Callithrix jacchus: one gene and its partners. The protein of the gene in region 2 interacts with the protein of the main gene of each other region in a pairwise test. Links are inferred from orthologs where the notes say so. Each region holds a gene or a part of one and is shown on either strand. Other genes may lie near its edges.

Region 1 (9,937 bases), on a different chromosome or scaffold from region 2:
GGTGAACTGGGTCTCAAGGGTGCCTGTCATCTTCTTTTTGGGAGGCGGCTTTCGTTTTGACTTTCTGCGACCCATGTCTGCAGGTGGATGAGCCTGTAGGGAGTGGCAGGTGTCAGTGGCTTGGGGAACCCATACAGTTCCCCAGCTCAATGCTCTAGAAAGCAGGCCGGGAAGAGGGTCTAGCAGCGGCCCAATGTGAAGGAGGGGCTTCCACCATGGTGCTGGGGCCTCTGCCCTTGAGGGATGAGGCCCGCAGTCCTGGTACAGGACAATCCCCCATCCCACTCTGGATGGAAGGGGTGATAGGAGGTTCTAACCCCATCTCTCTCACTTACTGCGTGACCTGGGCAGGTTATTTAAACTCTCTGTGCCATAGTTTCCTAGTCTATAAAATAGAGACAAGGCCAGGCATGGCGGCTCACACCTGTAATCCCAGCCAGCACTTTGGGAAGCCAAGGTGAGAGGATCACTTGATGCCAGGAGTTTGACACCAGCCTGGGCAACACAGTGAGGCCCCATCTCTTAAAAAAAAAAATTTTTAAATAAGCCAGGTGTGGTAGTGTACACCGTAGCCCCAGCCACTTGGGAGGCTGAGATGGGAAGATCACTTGAGCCCAGGAGGTCCAGGTTTCAGTGAGCTACCATCCAGGTATTGCACTCCAGCTTGGGCAACAGGGTGAAAACCTGTATCAAAGAAAAAAAAGAAAGAAAGAAAGAAAGAAAAAAATCGAAACAATGCTGCCATCTCAGAGGAGACTTGTGGGGCTGACACCAGGAATAGTAAGTTAAGTACTTAGCACAGAGCTGGCCCATCACTCTGGCACCAAAACAAGGAAGCCACTGTTCCTGGCAAGGATGGCACAAGAGACTCCAAGACAAGCCAGTTGTTCAGGACTGGGCACAGCCTAAGTGCCTAGGAGCTAGTGATTTAAAAAAAAATTTTTTTTGAGACAGTTTCGCTCTTGATGCCCAGGCTGGAGTGCAATGGCACAATCTCAGCCACCACAACCTCCCCTCCCGGATTCAAGTGATTCTCTTGCCTCAGCCTCCCAAGTAGCTGGGAGTACAGGCATGTACCACCACGCCCAGCTAATTTTGTATTTTTAGTAGAGATGGGTTTTCTCCATGTTGGTCAGGCCGGTCTCGAACTCCTGACCTCAGGTGATCTGCCTGCCTCAGCCTCCCTAAGTGTTTGGATTACAGGAGTGAGCCACTGCGCCTGGCTGAGACGGAGTCTCACTCTGTTGCCAGGCTGGACTGCAGTGGCACAATCTTGACTCACTGCAACCTCTGCCTCCCGGGTTCAAGTGATTCTCCTGCCTCCTGAGTAGCCGGGATTACAGGTGCGTGCCACCACGCCCAGAGCTGGTGATTTTATTCTGGTTGCTCCTCTTGTCAAGGGAAATGCAAGTGGCATCCAGGAGAAGTGACACTCAGGGCATCTGATAACCTCCATCCAGATGACAGACTGCAGGGCAGAGAGGTGGGGACAGGCACCTCCGAGTACAGGAAAACTGTGTGAAAGCTCAGGGGCAGGTGTCTGTCCCCTGGCAGGTGGGGGATGGAGGAGGGGCAGGTGGGAGGGTTCTGGGTGTTTGGATGGATCCTGGGAGCTACAAGGAGTGGAAAGGACAAAGTCACCTGTGCATTTGAGGGATTTAGGCACAGCCAGGACAGGGCTGTTGAGGTAGAGATGGCAGTGGGTGAGAGAGACAGAAGAGACATGGGCGGAACGAGCGAGTGTGACGAGAGGAGAGTCCAGGATGACTCCCAAGGTTGTGGTGGGGACACAATGGGTAGCGGGAGAAGCTGACAACATTCTCTGATGTCTAACACATAGGAAGGACAGGGTTTTGGAGAAAATGATGAGGTTGGGTGGCAGAGGGATATCTAGGAAGAGAAGTCCAGGAGGCAGGTGGGTGGGGAAACAGCAGTGGTTACCAATGAACCAACTGCCCTGCTAGGCACGGTGTTCAGGCACTGTGTTTGCCATCCCTGAGCCTCCTATGGTGGCGCCTCCTCCAAAACACACACACCCCACACATACACAACTGCTGGTTCTAGCATCATTCGTTTCTCCGTGACAGGGGAGGTCAGCAGCCTGCCAGGATCTTCCACAATAAACGGGAGTTTTATTCATTATCTGGTGATTGCTTCCTATGTAACATCCCCAGCTCTTAACTGTGATGCTGCCAATTCACTGAGTAAAGAAAAGCAATCCAAAGACAGCTCCTAGGACCAATTCATTCAGCTATTCACCTTTCCTCTTTATTTAAGAGATGAGGTCTCACTCTGTTGGACAAGATCAACAAAGCCAAGCTGGTCTCCAACTCCTAACTTCCAGGCTGGAGTGCAGTGGTGTGATCACAGCTTGCTGAAGCCTCAATCCTCTGGCCTCAGCCTGCTGGGTAGCTAGGACAACAAGCGTGCACCACCACGCCCGGCTTCGGCATGCCTCCTTTACTATGGAAGTATGTTTCTGCAAAAACAATTTGTTCACTCTGCCCTGGCTCCCATCCCCTTTTCTTTGAGCACCATCAAATTTTCCAGCTCTACCAGATCACTCACATGCTTGTTATTACCTCTCTCCTCATTTAAAAAGGGGGGAAAAAATCTCTTTATCCTCTTCCAGCTATGATCCATTCTCTGCAGGCTGTTTTATCGTAGAGCCATCTGCACTCCCTCCCATCTCTCTACACCCCTTGCCTCCAAACTGAGGTGGCTCCATACTGCCCATCCCAATGGCAGTCCTCCCATTCCAGGGGTCCCTCCTCCCACCTTTCTCACGTGCCTCTCAGGACCCCAAATGTTCCCTATCCCCTGCCTCACTGGTGGCTCCTGTTAATCTCCTATGCTCCTGCCTCTCTGCCAACTTGCTCTCATGAAGAGAGCACATGAGTTTGGGCCAGGTCCGGTGGCTCACATCTGTAATACCAGCACCTTGGGAGGCCAAGGTGAGCAGATCACTTGAGGTTAGGAGTTGGAGACCAGCCTGGCCAACATGGTGAAATCTCGTTCTGCTAAAAATACAAAAATTAGCTGGGTGTGGTGGTGAATGCCTGTAGTCCCAGCTACTCTGGAGGCTGAAGCAAGAGAATCACTTGAACCCAGAGGGCAGAGGTTGCAGTGAGCTGAGATCATGCCACTGCACTCCAGCCTGGGTGACAGTGAGATTCCAACTTTAAAAAAGAACAAACAAAAAAAGGTCAGCACAGTGGCTCAGGACTGTAATCCCAATACTTTGGGAGGCAGAGGCAGGTGGATCCCTTAAGGTCAGGAACTGGAGACCAGGCTGGTCAACATGGTGAAACCCCATTTCTACTGAAAATACAAAACTTGGCGGGGCACGGTGGCTCACACCTGTAATCCAAGCACTTTGAAGGCCAAGGTGGGCGGATCACATGAGGTCGAGAGTTCAAGACCAGCCTGACCACACGGTCTTTTAAAAAACAAACAAACAAAAATTAGCTGGGCATGGTGGCACATGCCTGTAATCCCAGCTACTAGAGAGACTGAGGCAGAAGAATCGCTTTAATCTGGGAGGTGGAGGTTGCAGTGAGCCAAGATCATGCCACTACACTCCAGCCTGGGCAACAGAGTGAGACTCCATCTCAAACACAAAACAAAACAAAAGGTTCATCGCAGTGGCTCATGCCTGCAATCCCAGCACTTTGGGAGGCTGAGGTGGGTGGATCACAAGGTCAGGAGTCCAGGACCAGCCTAATCAACATGATGAAACCCCATCTCTACTAAAAATACAAAAATTAGCCCGGTGTAGTGGTGCACGCCTGTAATCCCAGCTACTCAGGAGGCTGATGCAGGAGAATCCCTTGAACCCGGGAGGCAGAGGTTGCAGTGAGCCGAGATTGTGCCACTGCACTCCAGACTGGGTGACAGAGTGAGACTCCTCCATCTCAAAAAAAAAAAAAAGAGAGAGAGAATCCAGGAGTTGAATCGCTGAATCCTCTCCTCTCTGGCTATACTCACCTTCATGAAGATTTCTCCCAGTCTTAGGGCTTCATGCCTACTTTACACTGAGGATACTGGCTTCTCCAGCCTTGAGTCTGTCCCCTGATTTGCAGACTCTGATCTGTCTGCCTCAGCCACAGCTCCACCCTGATGTCTAACTTCCACCCAATATTAAACATAACATGTCCAAAACCAAGCCGCTGACACCGCAACGTGCTCTTCCACAGTCTTCCTCATCTCAGCTAACAGCAACTCCATCTTTCTGGATAATCAAATCAAAGACTTTGGATTCATCGTCAATCCCTTTCTCTCTCACACATCCCTTATGTGATCCTCCCCCTACCCCTCTATCTCTGAAATACAAATTAGCTGCAGCATCATGCCCAGCTAAGTTTTGTATTTTTTGGAGAGACAGGGAACCCATCGTGTTGACCAGGCTGGTCTGGAACTCACAGATTCAAGCGATCCTCCCACCTCGGCCTCCCAAAGTGCTGGCATTACAAGCATGAGCCACCGTGCCCGGCAATAACTATTATTGAATAACCCAATCAATCAGTCCCTGGAATCTGAATCTACAAAAAGCCGGATGTGGTGGCTCATGCCTGTAACTCTATCACTTTGGGAGGTGAGGACTGTAATCTCATCAATTTGGGAGGCCAGAGTGGGAAGATCACTTAAAGCCAGGAGTGGGAGACGAGCCTGAGCAACATAGTGAGGCCCCTCATCTCTACAAAATTACAAAAATTAGCCACGAGCCTGTAGTCCCAGCTACTCTCGGGAAGCTGAAGTGGGAAGCTTGGGCCCAGGAGGTCGAGGATGCAGTTAGCTATGATCGCGCCACTGTACTCCAGCCTGGGCGACACAGCAAGACTCTGTCTCAAGAAAAAAAAAGTCCAAATAAAATCTATGTATGAGCCCCAGAATCTCATTTTGCCCAGGGACTACAGTCCCCCCCACCCCATGAATGGGGTCTGGCTTGCATAAGGATTGCAGAGGCTTCGGCCTGTCCGGTGACAACGTTAAGTCCAAGCGCGCCAAAAGGGGATGGCAAAGAAGTCATCCTCGAATCTGCTGAGACCCAAGAGGTAGGGGGTTGGCTATTCCTACAGACTCACCGAGTCTTCGGCATCGCCTCCCGACGGCCGCCGGGAGGAGCCAGGCGCCCCGGTAGGTCGCTCTTGGAAGGATGGGGTCGGGGGGAGTCAGTCTCCCCGACCTGCCTCCCCACAAGCCCGGGGTCCCAGACGCCTCCTCCAGGACCCCGTAAACTCCCGGAGTAGAAGAACTCCCAGTCCTGCCCGGCCCCAACGCCCACCTGCACGATCAGCACCAGCACTCAGCTTGCCTCGCTGCAAAAGCTCCGTTTACCCGGGAGACAGTGACTTCCGACTTCTGCCGGAAGCGGAAACCCCTCTCCTCCTTTCAGGTCCCGCCCACCCCCGGCCGGGACTGCCCAGCAAATAGGCCCCGCCTTTGTCGCCGGGGCTCTGAGCGCACGCGTATTCAAATAGGAGCGAGCCGGTAGTCGTAGTACGCCTGCGCAAAAGCCGGAGCGTATTTATCTGTAGCTGCGTGCAAGGCAGGTTCTTCTGGTCAGTTCGCAGGAGCAAAAAGTGAGGAATATGAAATGTCCTTATGACCGAATCAGGGTGAAGGGGAAGCTTGTAAGGTTGTAAGACGCTCTACTTAAACTCTAACGAGCATCTATCTGCGGGCCTTTTTAAAATTCAGGTTCTGATCCAGCAGATGAAGAGGGAGGCCTGAGAGGCTACATTTCAAACTCGTTCCCAGGTGACTTCCACGCTGCTGGTCAGCAGACCACATTTTTAGTGCCCAGATTGTAATAGATGAGGTTGAATGGACAGGCTGGGACCAGATTCCATGGGGCCTCGTGGGCCGTGCTAAGGACGTTTATTGTTTATTATTTTTCCTGAAACGGGGTTTTGCTCTGTCACCAAGATGGATTACAGGTGCTTACCACCATGCCTAGCTAATTGTTGTATTTTTAGTAGAGATGGGGTTTCATCATGTTGTCCAGGCTGGTCTCGAACTCCTAAGTTATACATCCGCCTTGGCCTTCCAAATTTCTGGGATTACCACCACGCCCGACCTGAAGAACATATTTCAAGATGGGGGGGGTGGTGGTTAGCTGTGTCATGTGTCCCTGAGTTAAAATGAGGAAAAAGAATTGACAGTTGAATTTGGCAAGGTCTCTGGGGACCTTGATAAGAGCTGTTGCATTAGAGTGTTCAGGAAGATAATTTGTAATGAAATGTATTTCAAATACAGATGCTCCTTGACTTACGATGGGATTACATCCCGATAAAACTATCATAATAAAGTTGAAAAATCTTAAAACCGTCAAATCAAGGACTGTCTGTAGCGCGATCTCTAGGATGTCCCCTAGGGGGCAGTGATACCCTGGGAACTGTCAAGTGTAACCAGTATACCTGCCCTCCTGTGAGACCCTTTTTCAGTGCTGGCACGAACTAGAATCCACACAGGATGGAATCATACAGCTACCGTGCAACTTGCTGTTTCCACTTAACCGTCTATACACGTATACCTAACTCCCGTTTTTATTAGCTACACGATTCATAGTGCAACTTTGCCGTAGTATAAAATCAACTGTTATCCTACTGCTGGACAATTCCTGGACCTTCCTGAGTTTTGCCACTATGATGATGCAGTTAGTCTCTGGATCAAAATTCTTAGGACTGGGACTGGATCTTTAGTGAGGCATAGTTTTCAAAAAATGATACTTGTGGGTACAGTGTCTCACGCCTGTAATCCCAGCATTTTGGGAGGCCAAGGTGGGAGGATTGCTTGAGCCCACGAGTTTGAGGCTAGCCTGGGCAACATAGTGAAACCCTGTCTCTAAAAATAAAATAAAAATAAATGATGGCTTGGTGCGGTGGTTCACACTTGTAATCCCAGAACTTTGGGAGGCCGAGTTGGGTGGATCACCTGAGGTCAGGAGTTCAAGACCAGTCTGATCAACATGGTGAAACCCCCTCTCTACTAAAAATATAAAAATTAGCCTGGTGTGGTGGCACATGCCTGTAGTCCCAGCTACTTGGGAGGCTGAGACAGGAGAATTGCTTGAACCTGGTAGACAGAAGTTGCAGTGAGCTGAGATCGTACCATTGCACTCCAGCCTGGGCAGTAAGAGCAAAACTCTGTCTCAAAAAAAAAAAAAAGACATTTCTGAGTCACAGGGTGTATATATCTTTCATTTTGTTTATGATTGCCATATAAGTTTTCTCTTTTTCTCTCCTTTTGTCCCTTCCCTCTCTTACTTCCCTCCTTCTGAGCTTTGTTACAATGTAATTCACTGAACACAAACTGATCATATTTAAACTATGCCTGGCTGAAATTGCATGTTTTGACATACAGGTATATCATTAAAACATGACCACAATCAAGACGATTATTTCCATCACCCTAAGACATTTCCTCTTACCAGTGGCCGAGCATGGTGACTCATACTTGCAATCCCAGCACTTTGGGAGGCCAAGGTGTGCGAATCACGCGAGGCCAGGAGTTTGAGACCAGCCTGGGCAACACGGTGAAAGCCCTTGTAGTCTCTACTACAAATACAAAAATTAGCGAGATGTGGTGATACATGCCTGTAGTCCCAGCTACTCCGGAGACTGAGGCAGGAGAATCACTTGAACCCAGGAGAGGGAGGCTGCAGTGAGCTGAGATTGTGCCACTGCACTCCAGCCTGGGTGACAGATCAAGACTCCATCTTAAAAAAAGAAAAGAAATTTTCTCTTGCCCTTTCATGCTCTGTCCCCTACTCCTGCCCCTGGCCCTAACAGATTTGTTTTGGTTCCTATAACTTTGTCTTTTTCAGAAAGTCATATAAGCTGAATCATACAATGCGTAGCCTATTGAGAGGCTTCTTTCCCCAGCATGTGATGTTTGAAACTCACTCATGTTCCCAGCACTTTAGGAGTCCAAGATGAGTGGATCATTTGAGGTCAGGAGTTCAAGACCAACATGGCCAACATGGGGAAATCCTGTCCTTACTAAAAATACAAAAATTATGCGGGCATGGTGGCTCGCAAACTGTAATCCCAGCTACTCAGGAGGCTGAAGCAGAAGAATCGCTTGAACCCCGGAGGCAGAGGTTTCAGTGAGCCGAGATTGCACTGCTGCACTCCAGCCTGGGCGGCAGAGCCAGACTCCTTCTCAAAAAAACAAAACACGAAAACAAAAAAGAAACTCATGTTGTTGGCCATGTCAGTGGTTTCTTTTTTATTTCCTTTTGAGATGGGGTCTCACTATGTTACCCAGACTGGAGTGCAGTGGCACCATCATGGTTCACTGCAGCCTCAATTTCCCAAGCTCAAGCGATTCTCCCACGTCAGCTTCCCAAGTAGCTGCGATTACAACTGTGCGCCGCCACGCCCAGCTAATTTTTGTATTTTCACCAGGCTGGGCGCAGTGGCTCGTGCCTGCAATCCCATCACTTTGGGAGGCCAAGGCGGGTAGATCACCTGAGGTCAGGAGTTCAAGACCAACCTGGCCAATATAGTGAAACCCCATTTCTACTAAAAATACAAAAATTAGCCAGGTGTGGTGGTGAACACCTGTAATCTCAGCTACTCGAGAGGCTGAAGCAGGAAAATCCCTTGAACCTGGGAGGCGGAGGTTGCAGTGAGCTGAGATTGTGCCACTGCACTCCAGCCTGGGCAACAAGAGCAAAACTCTGTCTCAAAAGAAAAAAGAAAGACAAGGTTTGCCTTGTTGCCCAGGCTGTTCTCAAGCTCCTGGGCTCAAGCAATCCACCTGCCTTGGCTTGTCAAAGTGCTAGGATTATAGGCATGAGCCACCACACCCAGTTTTGTTTCTTTTTATTACTCAGTTGTATTCTGTTAAATGACTGTCTCACACTCTGTTAATCCTTTCACCTGTTAATGACTGGTTTTCGCATTGTTGCCAGTGTTGAGCAGTTATTACAGCTGCTACGAACCGTCTCTCATTTTGAGGGTGGCAGATGATGCCACCAAAATATGCCACTTTGGCATATGGATTGTTTTGAGCTAAGGGCACTTGAAAAATAGCAGGTGCCGAAAACCACTGTGATCTCCCTCTTTTCTTCTGGAAAATGAGATAAACCCCCACATGGAAGATGCCCTCCTCAAACCAGAAAGAAAATAAAATTCTTTTTTTTTTTTTGAGACAGGGTCTTATCCCATTGCCCAGGCTGGAGGGAAGTGGTGTGATCTTGGCTCACTACAACCTCCACTTCCTAGTCTCAAATGATCCTCTCGCCTTGTCCCTGAGTAGCTGGGATCACAGGTATGCACTACCACACCCAGCTAACTTTTTGTATTTTTGGTAGAGACAGGGTTTCACCAAGTTGCCCAGGCTGGTCTCAAACTCCTGAGCTCAAGTGAACTACCTGCCTCTGCCTCCCAAAGTGCTGGGATTATGGGCATGAGCCACCATACCCAGCCCTAGGGTGGAAAATTCTTATCACGAGAAGACAGGGAGTGAAAGCTCAGGGAAAAAATAGACAAACAAATCTCCTTTTTTGTTTTTATTTTTTATTCATTTATTTTATTTTTTTGAATTTTTTTTCTCAACCCCCCAACCTGGCCACCTTCATAAACAACCTTGTTAAGCAAACACTTATTTTTCTGGTTATTTTTCCACCATTAAATGCTGCAGCCCAAACCCCTTTGTCTTGTCACATTTTCAAAATTTACTACCCTTTAAAAACTTTATGTATTTATTTATAATTTTTATTTTATTTATTTATGTATTTATGTAGAGACAGGATCTCACTCTGCTGCTCAGGCTGGAGCGCAGTGGCGCAGTCATAGCTAACTGCGGCCTCAAACTCCTGGGCTCAAGTGATCCTCCTGTCTCAGCCTCCTGAGTACCTGGGACTACAGGTGCATGCCATAATTTTATTTTTTGTTGTTTTAGAGATGGGGTCTCCCTGTGTTGTCCA
Region 2 (9,878 bases):
CTACCTACCCACATTGCTAGAATTACCACCAATCTGTCAGTAACTCCCAAAGTTACATCTTTAGCCCCCAACTTCTGAGCTCCAGACCCTCACTACTAATTGCCAACCTGATCTCTCTCCTTGAGTGTCTCACTGACTCTGCAAATTCAACATAACATATGCTAAAACAAATTAATTACCTTTCCCTCCAAGACAAACATTTGCTCTTTTCCTAGTATTTCCTATTTCAATAAATGACACCATTAATGGTTCTTAAGACATATACCAGGGAATCAATCACCTGACTTGTCCTCCCTCACCCCCCATCCTTAGCTAAAATTTTATTTTAAAATTGCTATCACTTATATGGCAACTATCCCTTAATAAAAAATAAACAAAAATTCCTATTGTTTCTGCTTCATAAATACTTCCTGAATTAATCTACTTCACATCATCATCTCTTGCATAACTATTACAATAATATCCTTGCTGGCCTTTCTACAACCCTGTCACTGCCCCCAACGATTCGTTAGGTTCCTTGTTCTCACAACACTCTCTGTTGCTTCTTAGCAGGTCCTACAATAATTACAATCCACCTACTAAGGACCTAATTCCACCTTTAATGTCTACTGCACCTCAGAACTGTAAGGGCTATCAAGGCAGGCTCTGGGATTTCCATTAACAGTTCTGGTCTGGCTTTCTAGCCCTGTGCATGGCCCTCTGTTGTACTGTGCCCACTGCTGAAAGAACGGGCATATTATCCTGTCTCCCCAAGTATCTAAATCCTTTCCACCCTCTATAGGCCAGCACCAATGTTTGTTCCTCTCTCTGTTCTCCTAACTACTGCCATTCCCATCACAACACTCACCATGTACTGCCTTGCATCATGATGCACTGCCTGGATATGTCACATCTTCTACAGAGAATATGAGCTGTAAAAAACAGAAAGAATGAAACCGACATAAACATGTTTCCCCAACTGCCAATGCTAAAAAGTACTTCCGCAATTACCATAACACTGATTCTGCAGTTTCCAATACACTTAGCCTACTAACAAAATTAAAAGCGTGTTGAACTGCATTAAAGTTTCCAACTACATTTTTAAATGTCCTTAAATTTTAAAATGTCCTTAGCACTTTGGGAGGCTGAGGCAGGCAGATCACCTGAGGTCAGGAGTTCGAGTCTAGCCTAAGCAACATGGAGAAACCCTGTCTCTACTAAAAATACAAAAGTAGCCAGGCATGGTGGCACATGCCTGTAATCCCAGCTACTCAGGAGGCTGAGGCAAGAGAATAGCTTGAACCCAGGAGACAGAGGTTGCAGTGAGCTGAGATCATACCATTGCACTCCAGCCTGGGCAACAAGAGCAAAAAATAAATAAATAAAATAAAATAAAATGTCCTTATTACTAGTTTTGCTGACTCAAAACTATCACCAGCTCAAAAGACTTAAATCATAGGCATAGATCATCTCTACTTTGTTAAAAGACGAGGGGAAAAAAAATCATTTCCCCTCTCCCTCTTCATATTCTAGTTTCCTTCTTGGTAAAAACATGTAGGCATAGACCAAACACAAACATCACAGTGAGGCCAGCATTCCAATTCAAACATAACCATAATCTTGTTAACACAACAGTTACGATTCTTGATTTTCATTCTCAGTTCCTCCCACAGAAAAACATTGTAAACATGAATGATTTTCCAAATACTTGAACTTCAGCAAAACATCCAAACAAACTCATAAATATTGAGTACAAAAAGCTTTAACATAGAAACATACTCCTAAAGTCTTTCTAACTAAAAGTCTCACCAATAGAACTTTACTGTGTAGACTTTCGAATGGCTCATGAAAATAATTTCAGATTATGTTATCAATCACTGTGCTTAATAAATAATGGGCACCAAATAATATCTGATTTTTTTTTTTTTAGAGACAGAGTCTTACTCTGTCCCTAGGCTGGAGTGCAGTGGTACAGTCATAGCTTACTGCTGTCTCTTACTCCTGGGCTCAGGCAATCTTCCCACCTCAGCCTCCAAAATAGCTAGAACTACAGGCCCAACTCCTGATTATGATCCAGTCCCATACCCTCATGATAAACCTGGGGCCCAGACAGCTCCTGCCACCATAGGCTACTCACTGACAACAGAATCAAGTTCAAACTCTGTGCTGGCATTTAAGACCCTTGAGACTCTGAACCCAGGCTTGTTCTCCGGTACCTCCTGAAAGAGCCTACTACCCCACATTTTCCCAACTGATTACCATACAAGTACAAAGAACCACCTAGTTCTTTCCTCCCATTCTCCTCTCTAAAATCTCCCACCCTAGGCGGAGGTTGCAGTGAGCTCAGATCACACCATTGCACTCCAGCCTGGGCAACAGGAGAGAAGCTCCATCAAAAAAAAAAAAAAAAAAATCTCCCACCTAGGAATTTGTCCAATGAATTTCCATCCATCTACCAATCTCAAATGCCACCTCCTCTATGAAGCCCTTCCTGATTCCCTTAAGTAATCCTATTCCCTCTATACTTAATTCATTCACTGCACTTACCAGAGGCTGCCTCACATCATGGTGAAGTATGCAAATGTCTAACTCCTCCACTAGATTATAAGTTCCTTGATGACATGGGTTGATTCAGTCATGTCTGTATCCCATATCCTTCGGGAAAAGCATCCTTCACACTGTAGGTGGTCAATAAATGTTTACTGTCTCACCATTAGTATGTTTCCATGTTGCTACTGTACATTTCCCTTCCATGTACCTCCACAACAGAAAGCAGACCTTTTCACTGATTCAGGTGACATTTAATGAGCCCATATATGGGAAGCACTGTCCCAGGCCCTGCAGACTCAGAGATAAGAAAGACATACAGCCTGTAGGGTTCAAGGAACTCAGAACCCACATACAAATAAGTTTTTTTTTAAATACAAATAATGCAATAAACACAAAAAGGAGATATGTGCAGGTCTTAGGGAACACAAAGATGTATGCTGAACCTAGAGGCGGGCAAAAGTCAGGGTCATAAACACTCTTTTACAGTGCGTAACAACAGCTGAACATTCACTACCAGATCCTTGTGGATGTTTTTGTAGTTAGAAAATCTAAAAATACTAATCATGAAATTGACCTATTAAAGGCACAATCCGGCTGTGTTGTGAATGCAAACTTTACTTCCAAAGTCAAGGAATTCACTGCACCTGGAAAAGTAACTGTTTTCTCCGTCTCTTCTCAGTTGCTGTTTGAAAGCAGAGACACTGAGGGAGCCGTCTTGAATAGTTAACACGGCCAGGAACGTCAGTACATGTAAAAGAGTTGTAAAGTGTGACTACACTTGTATTGAGACCTCCCTCTTTCCCCAGGTGGATCTGCAGGGCAGTCACCTTCATCCTGCTCTGTAACTGCATGCTTAGTGTTTGCATCTCCCGCCAGACCTTGCGCCCCACTAGACAGGCGCTGAGCTCAGGATCTCGCTCCCCTCCGAGAGCCGGGCGGCCCCAGGCCTGGACCACAGCGTGTACTCCGCAAATGAATGAAAGGTCTCCTTTTTCACTTCCATTTATTTGCGGAATCCAGGCCTAGGGTCGTTCTTTTGCCCTTAGCTGCAGATCGGAAATGGGGCTGCCCGACCCCAATTACCGGACGCCTTTCACCCCAGCCCCAGAGACTCCAGCCCCGTTTAAATTCTGACACTCGGAAACTGTCTTTTAACACTTGCAAAGTACCCCTTTTACCTATAAAAGGCTCTCAGGCCGCGAGATCCCCGTCAGAGCAAAGCCAGGCTACTACTGCAGGCACCAAGACCCTGGCGCCGCTCGAGCCTCCGGAACAGGAAACCGAGGGAATTAAAAAGCAAATCTGAGAAAGCTGGGCCAAGGGAAGAAAAACGCTTCTGCCCACCGCAGGGCCTTGTACGCGGTGATTGGACACGTCAAAGAGAGCGATGGACGTCTACACCAATAGTCAGTAAAAGACCCTTTGGAGCCTGCCCTCCCTCCTCCTAAATCCTCCAATCCAAAAACGCAACCGGGGGAAGGCGTGCTTCCGCCGGGAGAGGGGAAGCCGGACTGAGGCGCCTGCCTTCCCGGGTCCTTTCCAGCTGCCACGGCTTTGCTGCAAAGCTGACGGGCGCAAAAACATGAGTGACACCGCCGGATGGCCCACTGGCCTCCGACGTTACCCGAAGCTCCCTGTATGGGTGGTGGAGGATCATCAGGAGGTGAGCGGACGGCGACCGGGCTCTGGGGCAGAGTCGGCGACGCCCTGACGCTCCGAGGACCAAGCAGACAGCGTAGCCTTAGCCTCGGAGGCCTGAGAGTTAGCCAGAGTTAAACTGCCCGATTACGTTGCTTGGGGAAAGACACTAAAACAGCTAACTAGGAAGAATAGGAACTAACGTTTCTGTGCGCTTCCTACGGGTCGGGGCAATGTATTTACCTCGGTTTGCCCCAAATCCCAGGACCAAACCACTGGTAGGGTCGGGACTCGAACCCGGACGGTCTGGCTACAGAGCCCCGTGTCCTTAACCTGCAGTTAACTCTGGCTTCCAAATGTCTCCTGGCATCGCCATCACAGCCGTGCTGTTTAGATGGGAGGCTTTATGCTTGGAACCTGGGCTCTGATCTGAAATGGGGACAGCAATCATAGGACTCACGTTAGGAGTATTATTGTGTACATATTGTGTTTAAAAAGTTTTTTTGTTTTTTTTTTTTTTGAGACGGAGTCTTTCTCTGTTGCCCAGGCTGGAGTACAATGGCGTGATCTCAGCTCACTGCAGCCACCGCCTCCCGGGTTCAGGCGATTCTCCTGCCTCAGCCTTTTGAGTAACTGGGACTACAGACTCCCGCCACCATGCCCGCCTAATTTTTGTATCTTTAGTAGAGACATGGCTTTGCCATGTTAGCCAGGCTGGTCTGAACATCTGACCTGAGGTCGGCCTCCCAAAGTGCTGGGATTAAGGCGTGAGCTACCACGCCCGGCCCGTATTGTTTTAAAAAAAAAAAAAAAAAAAAAAACTTAACACGGTGCCTGCATATATAAATACTAAAAAGGGTTTCCATGTTTATGGCCGGGCTGCTTTACAGTAGCTAAATTGGTGTCTTAATCTAGACTTTTCCAAGTCAACAAAGGAGGCCCATGGATCTAACAAATTTGTTTTAAAGTAGCATCAGTAAGCTTGGGGATGTGAAGCGGTTCTCTGGATGTTAAAAAAGAAGGATTTACTGACGGCGAAAATTAATAGGAGAGGAAGATAGGTTTCTCAGGACCTAGATATAATGTCTATGACCTTGAGAGAATGAGAAAGCCTGGGTTAGACAGTGCTTTCAAATTAGGTATTAAACCTAAAACTAGAGAAGATGGAAGAGGAGAAATGGCCTTTACAGACCACCTAGCCCAACCCCACCATTCTCAGGGTACCAGAAAGACCCTAACCAGCCTGGACAGCAGAGCGAAACCCCACCTCTACAAAAACTGAAGTGAAAGAAATAGCTGCATATAGTGGCATGTGCCTGTAATCCCAGCTACTCAGGAGACTGAGGTGGGAGGATCTCGTGAGCCCAGGAGTCCAAGACTACAGTGAGCCATGACCACATCACTGCTCTCTAGGCTGGACAACAGAGTAAAACTCTACCTCTTTTTAAAGAAAATAAATAAATAAATAAAACTTTGAGACCTAGGGTACCTTGAACACCTCATTAATGTTAGAACAGGCATTAAGCCATAGTTTGTTCCTGAGCCCCAGTCCTGGTCTGTTTCCCCTCATGACCTGTTGAGTTCAAGGTGGCAGCAGGAAGGTAGCTGGAGGTGCAAATTGAAAGTTCTGAGGACAAAGTAATATTTGAGATTATCATCTGCACCATTTACAAGAAACAAATTTTTATCTTTTTCCACTTTTTTTTTTTTGAGACAGAGTTTTGCTCCTGTTGCCCAGGCTGGAGTGCAATGGCATGATCTCAGCTCAGTGCAAGCTCCACCTCCCAGGTTCAAGTGATTCTCCTGCCTCAGCCTCTCTAGTAGCTGGGATTACAGGCACCCGCCACCACACCGAGCTAATTTTTTTGTATTTTTAATAGAAACGGGGTTTCACTAAGTTGGCCAGGCTGCTCTCGAACTTCTGACCTCAGGCAATCCACCTGCCTCAGCCTCCCAAAGAGCTGGGATTACAGGCGTGAGCCACTGCACCTGGCTCTCTTTTTCCACTTTTTCACAACATAGTATGCTTTCGATATGTACACTGTTTAGCATTGTTTTTCAGTCTGCAGCGGGGTATGTGCTCATGGTTTCAGTATTAATTCTGATTGTATGCCTCTGTCATTTACAGGTTCTACCCTTTATATATAGGGCCATTGGCTCAAAGCATCTTCCTGCCAGTAATATAAGGTTTTTACATTTTGATTCACATCCAGACCTCCTTATTCCTGTGAATATGCCAGCAGACACCGTGTTTGATAAGGAAACACTCTTCGGGTAATCAGTGATTTTATTCATGGTCTTTTGTGTTTGAAGTACAATTCACAGATAATAAGCAATTATAGCAAATAGACTTTGCTAACCTTATGGGTTTGGGGAGTTTTCATTTCTTTTTGTCTTTTTCATTTTATTTAGAACAAGTGTTGACAACTTTCTTAAAGAGCCAAATTAGTAAATGTTTTAGGTTTGCTGGCCATATGGTCTCTGTTGCCACTACCTATCTTTGCCTTTGTAGTATGAAAGCAATCAGAGGCACTGTGTGAATAAATGACAGCGGCTGTGTTCCAATAAAACTTTATTTACAATCTGGGCATGGTGGATGAGTCTGTAGTCCCAGCTACTCAGGAGGCTAGGGTGGGAGGATCACTTGGAGGCCAGCAGTTCCAGGCTGTAATCAAGCCTGTGCATAGCCTCTGCACTACAGACTGAGCAACGTAACCACACCACACCCCATCTCTTAAAAGAAACAAACAAACAAAAAAAAAACTTTGTTTACAAAAACAGCCTGGCCAATGTTTAATATTTGCTAAAACATTACAGACACCATTGGATTCTCATGTCAATTTCTGCATTTAGTTCATTGCCATATGTTGTTTTGATTGAAATATATGCTGAAAATTCAGGCTTTCACAGACATGTAATTGGAAAAGGAAAGAGTATTTTCATAGCCTTTTCAGATAATAGTCTGATAGTACAAGAAAACTTGACAGGTAGTAGTTTATGAAAGCTTAGCTGAAATGTGGAATTCAGCAATTCAGTGTCAAGTGTGAATAACCATAGTTTATTGATCAATCCTTTCAAGATAAATGGTGCCCAGCTCGAAGTTCAGTCACAAGTGCTCTTCCTTAAGACAGCTGTTATGCTTCAAACTGTATAGCAGAAGAGCTTTCAGTGCATTTCTGAATTTGCCACACAGAATATTTAAAAATGTATACTTAGGGTGGAAAGTTAATAAAATTGAGATATTCTCAAATGAAACTTTTTTATTTATCTATTTATTATGCTGGTGGTTGGTAATGAAAAATACAGTAACTACTAACAGTTTGGTGTTGCTGCCTTAATTAATGTTGGAACATCAACCCACCATTGCCTTTGTACCATCTTTGCAAATGTCAATAAATGAAAACAGGAAATAATACCTTAGTACTTTTTTTTAAATTCATTTCCTTTGGCCTTGATTTGGTCTTTTTTTATTTTAATTGCATTTTAGGTTTTGGGGTACATGTGAAGAACATGGAAGATTGTTGCATAAGTACACACATAGCAGTGTGATGTGCTGCCTTCCTCCCCATCACCTATATCTGGCATTTCTCCCCATGCTGTCTCTCCCCAACTCCCCACCCCCCACTGTCCCTCCCCTATTTCCCCCAATAGACCCCAGTGTGTGATGCTCCCCTCCCTGTGTCCATGTGTTCTCATTGTTCAACACCCACCTATGAGTGAGAACATGCGGTGCGTGATTTTCTGTTCTTGTGTCAGTTTGCTGAGAATGATGGTTTTCAGGTTCATCCATGTCCCTACAAAGGACACAAACTCATCATTTTTGATGGCTGCATAGTATTCCATGATGTATATATGCCATATCTTCCCTGTCCAGTCTATCATCGATGGGCATTTGGGTTGGTTCCAGGTCTTTGCTATTGTAAATAGTGCTGCAATGAACATTCATGTGCATGTGTCCTTATAGTAGAACGATTTATAATCCTTTGGATATATACCCAATAATGGGATTGCTGGGTCAAATGGAATTTCTTTTTCTAGGTCCTTGAGGAATTGCCACACTGTCTTCCAAGTACTTTTTTTTTTTTTTTTTTGAGATGGAGTCTCTCTGTCACTCAGCCTGGAGTGCAGTGGTGGCATGGTCTCGGCTCACTGCAACCCTCCACCTCCCGGGTTCAAGCGATTCTCCTGCCTCAGCCTCCCGAGTAGCTGGGATTACAGGCACCCACCACCACACCTGGCTAATTTTTGTATTTTTAGTAGAGATGAGTTTTCACCATGTTGGCCAGACTGGTCTTGAACTCCTGTATTTTTAGTACAGACAGGGTTTCACCATGTTGGCCAGACTGGTCTCGAACTCCTGACCTTGTGATCTGCCGACCTCAGCCTCCCAAAGTGCTGGGATTAGAGGCAGGAGTCACTGCACCCAGCAATACGTCAGTACTTTTATGAAAATAGTTTTGTCATAGTGATGTCCCAGAAAAAGCCTCAGGAACCACCAAGGGACCACACTTTGATACCTGTGGTCTTAAAATATTGTGGATGAAATTACACTTGGGGAAAAAAAAAAAAAACTAAAAGTTTTAATGTTGTCTTTCTATTTCTTTTCCAGAGAATTAAGTATTGAAAATTGGATTATGCCCGCGGTTTATGCAGGCCATTTTTCACATGTAATATGGTTTCATCCCACATGGGCTCAGCAAATCAGAGAGGGCAGACACCAGTTTTTAGTAGGCAAAGACACTTCTACCACAACAATCAGGTAATTTCCTCATATTTGTGAATATGGAAGTTATTGAATGTTTCTATCTTATTTTAGATTCCTATAATAACTTCCTAAGTCTCTGCCCACAAATAGGGTCAGATTAAGCCTCAACTTCTCCGAAGAGTTCTCAAAACACCAAAAACAAACTTTTAAGTCTCTTGATGTTCTTCATATACCATTTATATGTAGCTGCTGGTCTAATTAGATTTTGAATGTGATCTTTATCCTCGGGAATTTGGGCTTCATTGGTGATAAACTCCTTAAGCCATTGAAGTATCTTACAGATTTATATATTCAGTAGTGTATCGCTCAATGTAACTGTTGTCTGCTGAATTAAACAATTAGCAGTAAAAGGGCAAAATTATCTCACTTTGATTTTTTTATAAATCCAACAGCTGAATAAGTAGATTTGGGGCTTTAATTTTCTTAATTATAATATAATTAATTTCAGATAAGTACTTAATCTAAAGTAAAGTACAGCATCCTCTGACTTGAGATGCAGGTGCAACTGTTTTTACTGCATAAGCTATTTAACCAATGTTTTGTGTATCTTGTGATACTATCATACCTTTAGAAATACCAATATGTTCTTGACTTAAAAATTCTCTTCTGATGGGTTGAATTTTGTTTTTAATGTAGAAAAGCAATTTCTTCTATTTTATGCACTTACACAGTTAGTCATGGAGAGTGACAGGCTTGCTGGTGAAACATGTCACCCAAAATGGAGATGGCATCAAACTAGTGGTCAAGGACTAACTCCTGAAAAAAAGAGCAACTTTTATCAAGGACTAATTTAATTTTTAAAACAAATACAAGTTATTGATTCACTCTTCTCAACTTGACAGTCTACCTGTGGTATAACTGTCAGGTAAAAACATACATCTTTACAACTCGGTGGTTGCAAGTTAAAAAAAAAAAAAAAAAAAACACCATTTCACAGAAAGGAAAG
Region 3 (10,168 bases), on a different chromosome or scaffold from region 2:
AAATCCCCACCCCTTTTAGATGGCCACTAATTTTACTTTTCTCAGAAATGCCACCAAATTAAGACTTCTTAATTAAGAGAGCCAATGCATGCTTTTTTCTGCCTTAACTAGTCTGTACTGAGTTTTATAAATTGTAACTGGAACCCTGATGAATAGTGTTGTCTTCACCCCTTTCCTTTTTTTTAAAAAGAATAACAAGTTTATCTTCTTCTTTAAATCCTATTAACTATTAATCTTGGTAATTTATTCAAATCCAGAAGGTGTAGTCTTACACCATACTATTCCTAGTGTGATTAGGAAAAGCATTGAATGTCTGAGTTTTAATCTCAGCTTTGCCACTACACAGCAGTGCGACCTTGAGAAAGCTATGTAATCTCGCTGTGCCTGAGTTTCCTAACCTGTAAAATAGGGATAGTACACCTACCCTAAAAAATTGTGAGGATTAGAAAACAAGTGGGAAAAAACTGGTGTGTAGCAAGATAACTACTCGAAAAATCTCAGTTATTACTATTTTCTCCTTTGAAAACAACACATAACATCTGGGGTCATTTAATGAAGGATTTCCTGATTCCCCAAGGAAAGTAACTGTCCTTGCTGATATTTAGACCAGAATAAAGAAGTAGGATCAGTTATAGCTGAACTGGGAAAGATCTGGAATTCTGGAGCCCAACCCAGAACTCTTACCCAGGCTAGCTGCCCAGATTCTCCGACATTATTTCAGAAACCTTTAATAGCATAATGCCATGACTGGATTTTTTGTACTCCATTTAATGTATCATTGAGGAGTTTCACTGCATCTCTTTTACTTACTACTCTGTTTTTGGACAAATCATAGAACTTGTAAAGATCACTTTAAAATACTATTTTAAAAAGATGACAAAGGGTAGAAGACAAAGTGGCAAAAATTTGCCAGGTGAAAAGCACATGGAAGTTAACTAGACTATTTTATTTTCTGCATGTTTGAAAATTTCTATTAAAAGAAACAAATAAAATATTCTGCATGCTCTAATATCAAACAGAAAGGGTATCTGTGGGTTAGGGTAAAGTTTCCCGCAGCGGCATCAATGATTCTCAAACTTGGATACAAAAAAACATAACATCCAGCCATTTCACGTGATTCCAGTTATATCAAAGCAGCGATACTTAAGATGCACATGGAGAGTGAATAAAATGATGCTATGGAATGTGAAAAAGGCAAAGAATCCTGGTATAGTATTTTATATATTTGGTTTTAGGTATTCGATGATTTTTTTCTACATCTTTGCTAAAAATTGGAAATTTTTGCTAAAAATTTGGATAAACTGGAAATGCCTTATATTCACAGTGGCCTGATACTTAGATTTACATGGTAGTTGCCAGCATTAAATAAAAGATGACAAACAAAAAACCCAAAGTTATTTCATAAACCAGATTCTTTTCCTGAAAAGCAAGCTGGCCAAACTGAGCTTCTGTTCTCTCATAGTAACAATTAGCTGAAAGCCAAATGACTGCTCCCCTCTCATTCTGGTATCTGGGGTCTCCAGTTTGCAACAGCCCTCTAGCACTCCATTTTGCCTCCCGAAACTAACATTAAATCCAAGCATCAAATGCTATTGCGCTGTTCTGTTTTACTTACGCCTATGCTGCTTCACTCATTACCTGTCTGCCTCTGTATGTACCAGACTGTTACAGCTGCCTGTTTGTAAATTCTTACCCATTTCATCCAATTTCTCCATGTCTCGGATAATCTGTTTTGGATCCTTCATCTTTAAAACGGCAGCTCGAACCATCATGCGCTGTTTTTTGTTCTTATAAAAATAAAAGAGGGGCAGAACGTCAACAAGTCAGACACTCATGAGTTTTATTTCAACTTGCTTTAAGAATCTAAACAGAATTTTGAACTCCTTGGCTTCTGATCACTTGTTTCAACCACCAGAAACAGCTATGTAATTTTTTTTGCTTTAAAAACGTTTAGACCTTTCAAAAAGATGAATGCTATTTTTAAGATGTGCTTTCTTAGGAAAGCATTTCTTTTAACTCTGTGAGATCTTTAGCAGTTACTTAAACACACATACATACTTTAAATTTCTTTTTTTTCTACCTCTTATTTTCTTAAAGACTTCGGGTGATTGTTCCTGCCCCCTGTTCTAAAACCTCTGCTAGCTGAATTCCAAAATTTTCTTTATCAAAAAAAAAAAAAAAAAAAAAAGCTCAAAGGTTTAAGTGCTGAAATTATATAAAGAATATTTCGGCTGGGTGCAGTGGCTCACACCTGCAATCTCAGCACTCTGGGAGGTTGAGGTGGGCAGACCAAAAGGTCATGAGTTCGAGACCAGCCTGCCAGTATGGTGAAACTCTGTCTCACTAAAAATACAAAAATTAGCCAGGCGTGGTGGCAGGTGCCTGTAGTCCCAGCTACCTGGGACGCTAAGGCAAGATAACTGCTTGAACCCAGGAGGCAGATGTTGCAATGAGCCGAGATTCCACCACTGCACTCCAGCCTGGGTGACAGAGCAAGAATTCGTCTCAAAAAAAAAAAAAAAAGATTTAAAAATTTTGCAGAATTTAATGCTAAACATGAAGACACAATTGAACATTATTTAAAATCTGTGTCGCTTCTATGTATTAAGGCACAATACTATAAAGCAAATTCTTTCTTATTCCGTTGAAGTACTTAGTCACAAATCCAACAGCTAAGAGGAAAATGCTAATTAGGAAAATGGATACATAAAGCTAATATAGCTATAAATATTAGAAACCAATATATATAGTTAAGCTAATGTAATATACATAATATACAGCTAATCAGGAAAATGGATATATAAAGCTGTCTAGCATCATATTTATTTCCATTCTCATCAGTAGGCTTTAAAAGTTATGTTTTAATAAATAACAAAAAAGAATGATTTTCAAAAGTATATAACTCATTGGGAAAAGTAGTCAAATATCATTATAACCTGTGTGAGCTTCTCTGCAAAGTTACTTCAGTTCCTTAGTAAATTTTGGCTTAGTTTATTTCACAGTTTTTATAAAAAGCATAAAGCATCTTTTCTCATAAAATTAGAAACGTTATTCTGAAACCCACTAATCCCAAATCACAAGATGTGCCAAACAATACTTAAAGTTTTACAAGACGCTTCTGAAATCATACCTTCTTTAATTCTCTCTTCCGGGCTTCCTTTCCTTTAAAAGAGAGGGAGATATAATAAAACTTTTGAATCTTGAACGTTAGCATTTCCTCCAATTTAATACAGGCAAGTCTTAACTGTGGGGAGTTATAGTATGCACTGTAAAATAGCAGCATCTTTGGCCTCTATTCACTACATGCCAATAGCATCCCTCAAATTACGACAAAAATGTGAAGACATTTTAAATGTTTCATAAAAAACAACTATGAGTCTGAAGGAAAAGGATAACATAAAATGCTAAACAAGGGCTTGCAAAACTAATTTGCTCAAAATTTCAAATACAAAGAGAAAGCTTTCAGCCAATTCTACTGTGCAAGTCAATCAAATTTGAAAAATATTGTTACTAATTTATTTATTTGCATGTTTAAAGTCTTAATCATGTGCCCATACAAACACTAAATATACAATTTACTCCTCTTATCACTGCTGGTCTTGCAATTAAGCCACAGGGAAAGAAACCCCCTAATATTTGCAATTTTTAACACCATCCTACTTCATCATTCCACACCAATGGCCACTTACGGGCTTGGTCTGTGGGGTTCATAAATTTTCCACTCTTGGTGGATGACGTAGATCTCCGTCCCATGTTGACAATCTATATGGTTTACTTGTTCATTAAAAAAGAAAAACCTGTGAAGGTGAAAACAAAGAAACAGCTTATATCTTCTATATTTATTTATTTCTTTTTCTAGTCCTTACTAATTTCTGAAAAGAAACATTCCTTTAATTATAAATTCTGTGAGACCGTTCTTTCCTTAGTTTTGACTTTAATGTCCACGAAAGATGGCATCAACTTTCTTGACCATGAAAATTTAGATCTCTATCATTCTTTAGAAATATGATGAATGTGAAGCCCACTTCGAATATGCTCAAGTCATCAGTTTAACCCTTTTTTATGGATCACAGCATTGACTATGTCAACTGATTAAAAAAAAAATTGAAAATGCGTTAACGGTATGACACAAACCATGAACATCAGAAGCCATTAGTCCTTCTACTATAACGTCCCTTTATTAACATATAATTGTAAAAGAAGAAGAAGGGAATGAGCGTATAAATCTGGGCTCAAAACAAATACCTCGCCCTTGCCTCTCTCCATGGTTTTTCTTGGCATGTATCCTGTACGTTCTCAACACCTCTAAAACAGTAAATTGTTGATATAAGCATATTTAATTCTCACTGATTTAAGCATATTTAATTCAGATTCGGTTCTAATTCGGACATAATTCTTGACGCTCAAGAGTTCAAAACACAACTGAAAATGCAAATATTTGAAATTAGTGCTATATTAAGAGGTCCCCACAACTTAAATACTAAGATATATATATTTTCTTACCAATATCTGGCTCCCAATATATATTTCTTAAGGTAATTAAAAATAATACTTATGTTTGAGGAAAAAATATTTTATAAGCTAAAACTTTTATTAACACAGTACAATCAATATTACATGACTTCTTCCTCTTATTTCAAAAGAATGGGGCTTAATTTTTTGAAGCCCAGTCTTTCCAGTAATAAAGGTGGACAAATTTGCTTCCTTTTCCAAGTAGGCACCTTTTAAAGGTAAGAAAGGGGAGATTTTGTCAGACGAGTTTATTAGAGTTAATTTCTCTTTCACCAAGTGTTCAACTGCCCCGATTTCCGCCAGATGTTTCAGAGCTGTTTTGCTGGCAATTACTTCAAGACGAAGGTGACAAAGGCTCTGATTTTCAGCTTTCTCATCTAAAAAATGGGGACATTAATTACTTTACAACAAAGCTCTGAGGATACAATGAGGTTACAAAAAAACACATCCTGTGATGTCTGACTCACTATTTAACTATAATCTTTATAATGGATCTACATTCCTGGCCCATATACCCTGTCAAGTGGTTTCCTTGTCAGAAAAACTGGGTGGTGGGAGAGTAGCAGGGAGCAGGACGTGGGGAAGGAGGAAAACAAGCAAAATCAGTACAAATACAAGCTTTGATTGGGTGCGTTTCCGTGCTCTCCTAAGGGTCCTCAGGCTCACGTTCTGAATCTCCTCCCCCACAAATGAAACACAACGAATTGCAGAGAATTTCACGGAAGATACTGGCGCTTAAGTCTGCACAGATTAGTTTTTCGTCTGCAAGCGGGGCCGACTGGGAAATCAGGCCAAATAACCGTTGCGGAACTCTAAATAGCCAAAGAGGCTTCAATGACATAGGGTCCAGGTTCACCAAAGGAGGCAAAAGCAGCAACTGCCGAAACCATAGCGACGGTTGACCGACCATGATTCCAGGTACGAGACGTGAAACCCAAGGCTACCAATCAACGTGCACAGGAAGCCGCCCCAACCGACCCGGGCGAAGCCAACCGCGTAACCGCTGGTCGTCGCGCCACCCCAGGCCCAGCAATACCCCAGTCCGCAACCGGAGACCCCACAGGAGGAGCGGGGCAGAGGGGCTGGGTGTCCCTGAAGCCGCTGCGCGGGCCGCAGAAGGGACCAAAGAGACAAGGAAAGAGTAGAAAAGCAATCCCATACACTCACACTTCTGCTGTGCTCCCAGGACTGCGAGAAGCGGGGAGGGAGCGATTCCCGGCCTCTTTTACCGGTAAGGGCCTTCAACTCAGCCCCTCGGTCAACACCTCAGCTACCGCCATCTTGAAACCTCGCGCCCCTCCGCAATCCTTACGTCATTTCCCGTTCCTCCGTCCAGCCTTCTCTCTGCGTAGCTCAGTCCCGGAACCATAGAGAATACCCGAGAATCCAGGACCAGAGTCGCTTCCGGCTCCATACAATACCCAATTGGTTGGTTATCGGCTAAGAGCCCGCCTCACTGCGAGTATCTAGTACAATAGGAATTAGAAGACGAAAACTGCTATCTGATTGGTTGACGATCCTGCCTCGAGTTGGAGGCGTTCTGACCTGATTGCTGGGATCTTAGTGCGTTGAGCTGTCAGAGAACCGTGCGTTCTGCAGATAGAGAAGTGTTCTGCGTTTTCTGTTTCATAGAATTACATTAGTTTTTGGATATTTATGTTTCCTATGATGCAGGCAGGTGCCATCCTCTAGGGGTGTTTCAGTTTGTGGACGAATACCCAGATAACATTTGCCACTGAGTTTAATCTGCTTTGTAAGCACCAGGTTATCCCATGTGGGCGCCTGGTACGTGTGGAAATTTAATAGGCAGGCAGAACAGAACATTCGTAGACCTGAACAAATAAATCGGCACCCTTGTTAGAGTCGCAAATTGCTTATACGGGCGGTGATTTATTATTTATTAGTATTGTTTTGAAGAGGAGATAGGGGCATACATATGCAGTCGGTTTTAAATTTATGCGTGGGGAAGTTGATCTATATTGGCTCTATTCCAGACTGGTCTTTTCATCAGCCAAAAGTCCTCTATGATGTCACTCTACGTACGGGATTTTCATCAGCCAAAAGTCCTCTATGATGTCACTCTACGTACGGGATTATTCACTTAACTCTAGGCTTCGTCCCTACCCTCTACTCCCTCTTTCCGTACCTTCTAGCCTCTCTTTCCCTGAGTCTACCCCCACTTATTTCCCTTAAAGGTAAGTTTAAACATTTAAAAAATTATCCTACAGGACACACTTAGTTATTTCTAACCTTAACCTGAGTATCCCATGTAGGAAGGCTATTCTTACCATCAGTTATAAATATTTCAAATGTTGGTGGGGATACATATTAATTTTTAGCAGAATCTTTAAACTGCCCTTAGCGGTGTAAGAGCATTCCTATCATTCCAATACCTAAACTTACCTTTGTGTTAGGAAATTCTTGATTTGACTTTAGACTGAATTTGAGTCTCAGAAAGCAATGACAAGATCTTACAGGTTAAAGCTGATAAACCAGGTAATACATTAAACAGAAAATAATCTTGAATGTTGAAGGTGAACTAAGTTGTAATGTTTTGCAGCTAGTGTTTTTTTCTTTCTCTGCACCATAGTAGTGGTCATAGTTTTGCAACTAGTTTTGAAAAACAATGCTAGAAAAGAAAGAGAAAACAAAGTGTATGTTGGAAATAGTAAAGTCAAGTAGCTAAAATTTTTCATCTAGCTAATATTTTTAATATATGCTGAGCAGTTTTTATTTCAATACATTTCTTGTACTTGGATGGGAGAATCAACTATAACAAACAGTCTGGCATCAACAGCATATTAATAATTTTGTCAGTATAGACTAAAAGAGTCCTCTTGGGAATTATTCATTGACAAAGGATTGAGAAAACAAACACATCTGCAGAGGTTCAGCTGAACCATTAGGCCTCCATGGACTTTGGCGCTTTCTGAAATTAGGTACTTAGTGACATGGCTCACCTAATATGTCATGTAGCAAAGGCAGCTGCCTCCTTTTTGCTAGTGTTGAAAATGAAACTATGTATTTTTTTTCTGAAAACTTATGTTATAATAAACTGTGATTTTCCTTTAAATGACAAATGCTTTAAAAGTACTGACCTTCTATTCTGCATCCTAAATGCATTTTATTCATGTGTAGCTGTGCTTAGCTTGCTTGTCTTTTAAATGTTTCAGTGTTTGAAAATTCACTTGAGCCATATTTAATCATCACAGTTGGTCAGGGTTGATTGCAGTTATAGAAACAGGACCTTTATGTTTTTAGTTTTGATTTTTACCATTTTAAAATCCATCCAGTTTACATTATGTAATTAGTAGATGTTTACAGATCTTCTTCCTGTCCTAATTGAAGCAAATTGTTACAAACTGTTTTTCAGTCTCTTCCAGTTTACAGAAAACCAGATTTACTCTGATGGTCAAAAATATGGTAGTGTTTCTGTCCCATTCAAAGGCCCACAATTTATTTCTAGGCAGAAGTTACTAAGTATGTCCCATTATAACTAAATCATGTTTGAAGCTGGTGATAGAAATGAGAGTCTCTGCCAATGTAAAATTTAAGAATTTTTATGAAATTAGAAAAGGAAAAAGTAACCCCTATACTTGCACTCTGTGATATCATTTACCCTGATGTTAATCTGGTAGAGCAGGGTGTGAAAACATCCAGGGATATGATTTCTTTTACCTCACAGGGTCTAGCACCAACTGATCCAGCCATTGTTGACTCAAAACTCATCTAGTCATCTAGTCTTGGCATCTCTAATTTCCCTCTCCAAGTCCATATTGGAAGCATCTAAAAAATGAACCTAATCAAAGAAACAAACATGTTACTGAAAAGGAAGCAGAAAAACATTCCAGTGCAGATAAAATGGCTGTTCATTTCATTTGCTGTTTCACTGTATTGGTGACCTCAGTAATAGCGTGATTATATTTTTCTGAGGCTGACTTGAACTCCACCAGATGCTTCTCATAACTTTTGATGGCTGCTTGAAGCTGTGTTCTTTCCACTGCTCCCAGGATGGCACGGACAATCATATCTATGCCAAGGCCAAGAACAGCAACTCCAATACTACCAAGGAGAGAAGCACCAATTTGTGCTAACACAGTGACCAACTTGTTAATGATGCCAGTGGTGACACTGGAGCCCACAAGTTTCACAGCGACTGCACTGGCTGCAGATGTAGCTTCTCCCAGAATGACTGAAATAACCTTTTGCACTATCGCAATTTTCTCTGTTTCTCTTTCCTTAATATCCTGAAGTTTTCTGTAGAGGGTTGGCTCTAGCTTATCTTTTAGTGCTTCATCCACCGTTTGCACTTCCTTTTGAATGTCCCTAATGGCTTGGATGACGATGTCGCAGTTTTCTTTGATAGTCCCGTCTCTTTTCATCTCAATGGAGGCCAGCCTGCACCCCAAGTGCACATTTAGAACCTCAGTCAGCTTATTGGTGACGTCGAAGCTGTCAGATAAGCAATCAAGGAGCTGCTGGTGAAGACGATTTACTTCCTGCCGCCTCTTTGGGTTCTCTGGATAGAGGAAGTCACTTTGGGCCATATTTCCAGTGTGATCGCTGAAAAATAAAATGGTACATTTTTACTCAAAGTCTTAAAAAATATCTGCTAACTGTGTAGAAGGGACTAGGAAATCTTTTTCATCATGAATAGCAAAGAAGCAATATGCTGTCTAAGGAGAATTCCTCAGAATGCTCAACAGGTTCTTTAAAACAGTTATTGTTAAGAAATTTGGAGTCGGTATGAAGAATGTAGGCAACAGAATACAACCCCTTTGATGCATACATTAAGGTATTAGATTTTGTGGTGGGAAATAAATTAAGGCATTAGATTTTGTGATGGTGGGAAATATTCATGTCTCTCAAGCATCTATTAATAAGCATGATTGTTTCCAGGTAATATTTAATAACATTTATTTGAAACACACCCCAATTTGAACTGCTTAGCTCTTGATTACTAGAGCTCCTTAGTTTCCCCAACCCCTACTCACCACATCGACCATGCCTACCAGACTGATTTCTCTAGCATTTGGAGTTAAATTGATAATCAGGGCCAGATGAATATTCATAACTATGAATTTACAGGGCTACTTTTTGTGTTTCAATATTTGGTGGTTTTAATTTAAAATACTCAAATCACTTTATATTTTTCTACAGGCAAATTATTTGTTTTCTAAACCTAAGGGATATCCAAAGGCAACATACATATTATGCTAGAATCTTTAAAAATTTTTTTGGGGATAAGAGTATATATTCAAGACTCTATGGATTAAAATTTCATGTGGGGAGAAGGTAGGCACTATACAAGGCACAATATTAATCAGAGATAAGCACATGGCTATCTTTGTGATTTTCCATTTGCAAAGCATATAAATTAAATTATTTAGAATGGTCTAAATAGTATTGCACCTGGGCATTATTTAGATAAGTTAGAGTTAATGTCAGAAAAAAAAAATGGCATTTTACAAAAGTATTAAAGAATAAGGGGGTAGGCACCGCGGCTCAGGCCTGTAATCCCAGCAGTTTGGGAGGCTAGGGCAGGTGGATAACTTGAGGCCGGGAGTTCAAGACCAGCCTGACCAACACAGAGAAACCCCAACTCTACTAAAGATACAAAAATTAGTGTGGTGGTGCAGGCCTGTTGCTGGAAGCT

What was found.
Region 1: the proteins of C2H5orf22 (region 2) and ELOF1 interact in binary tests that used the Homo sapiens proteins (3 or more experiments, as listed by UniProt). The two-hybrid records come from large-scale screens. The link is inferred for Callithrix jacchus from reciprocal best matches to the Homo sapiens genes C5orf22 and ELOF1.
Region 3: the proteins of C2H5orf22 (region 2) and WBP11 interact in binary tests that used the Homo sapiens proteins (3 or more experiments, as listed by UniProt). The two-hybrid records come from large-scale screens. The link is inferred for Callithrix jacchus from reciprocal best matches to the Homo sapiens genes C5orf22 and WBP11.

The regions. Positions count from the first base shown.
Region 1 is NC_133523.1:10,695,811-10,705,747, forward strand, and holds the start of ELOF1 (transcription elongation factor 1 homolog), read right to left. Parts: upstream 5,350-9,937; 5' UTR 5,085-5,349; intron 94-5,084; 5' UTR 76-93; coding exon 1-75. UniProt on the Homo sapiens protein: Factor involved in transcription-coupled nucleotide excision repair (TC-NER), a mechanism that rapidly removes RNA polymerase II-blocking lesions from the transcribed strand of active genes.
Region 2 is NC_133503.1:173,751,990-173,761,867, reverse strand, and holds the start of C2H5orf22 (UPF0489 protein C5orf22 homolog), read left to right. Parts: upstream 1-4,011; 5' UTR 4,012-4,111; coding exon 4,112-4,192; intron 4,193-6,295; coding exon 6,296-6,441; intron 6,442-7,654; exon of another isoform or gene 7,655-8,750; coding exon of another isoform or gene 8,751-8,776; coding exon 8,777-8,926; intron 8,927-9,878. Other genes in the region: DROSHA (ribonuclease 3), read right to left, coding at 848-867.
Region 3 is NC_133510.1:8,522,508-8,532,675, reverse strand, and holds the start of WBP11 (WW domain-binding protein 11), read right to left. Parts: upstream 5,859-10,168; 5' UTR 5,825-5,858; exon of another isoform or gene 5,674-5,824; intron 5,643-5,673; exon of another isoform or gene 5,423-5,642; coding exon of another isoform or gene 5,179-5,422; intron 4,890-5,178; coding exon of another isoform or gene 4,722-4,889; intron 4,423-4,721; coding exon of another isoform or gene 4,412-4,422; exon of another isoform or gene 4,246-4,411; intron 3,798-4,245; 5' UTR 3,754-3,797; coding exon 3,690-3,753; exon of another isoform or gene 3,163-3,689; coding exon 3,131-3,162; intron 1,788-3,130; coding exon 1,694-1,787; intron 1-1,693. Other genes in the region: uncharacterized protein LOC144577829, read right to left, coding at 4,412-4,422, 4,722-4,889, 5,179-5,422; SMCO3 (single-pass membrane and coiled-coil domain-containing protein 3), read right to left, coding at 8,382-9,059. UniProt on the Homo sapiens protein: Activates pre-mRNA splicing. May inhibit PP1 phosphatase activity.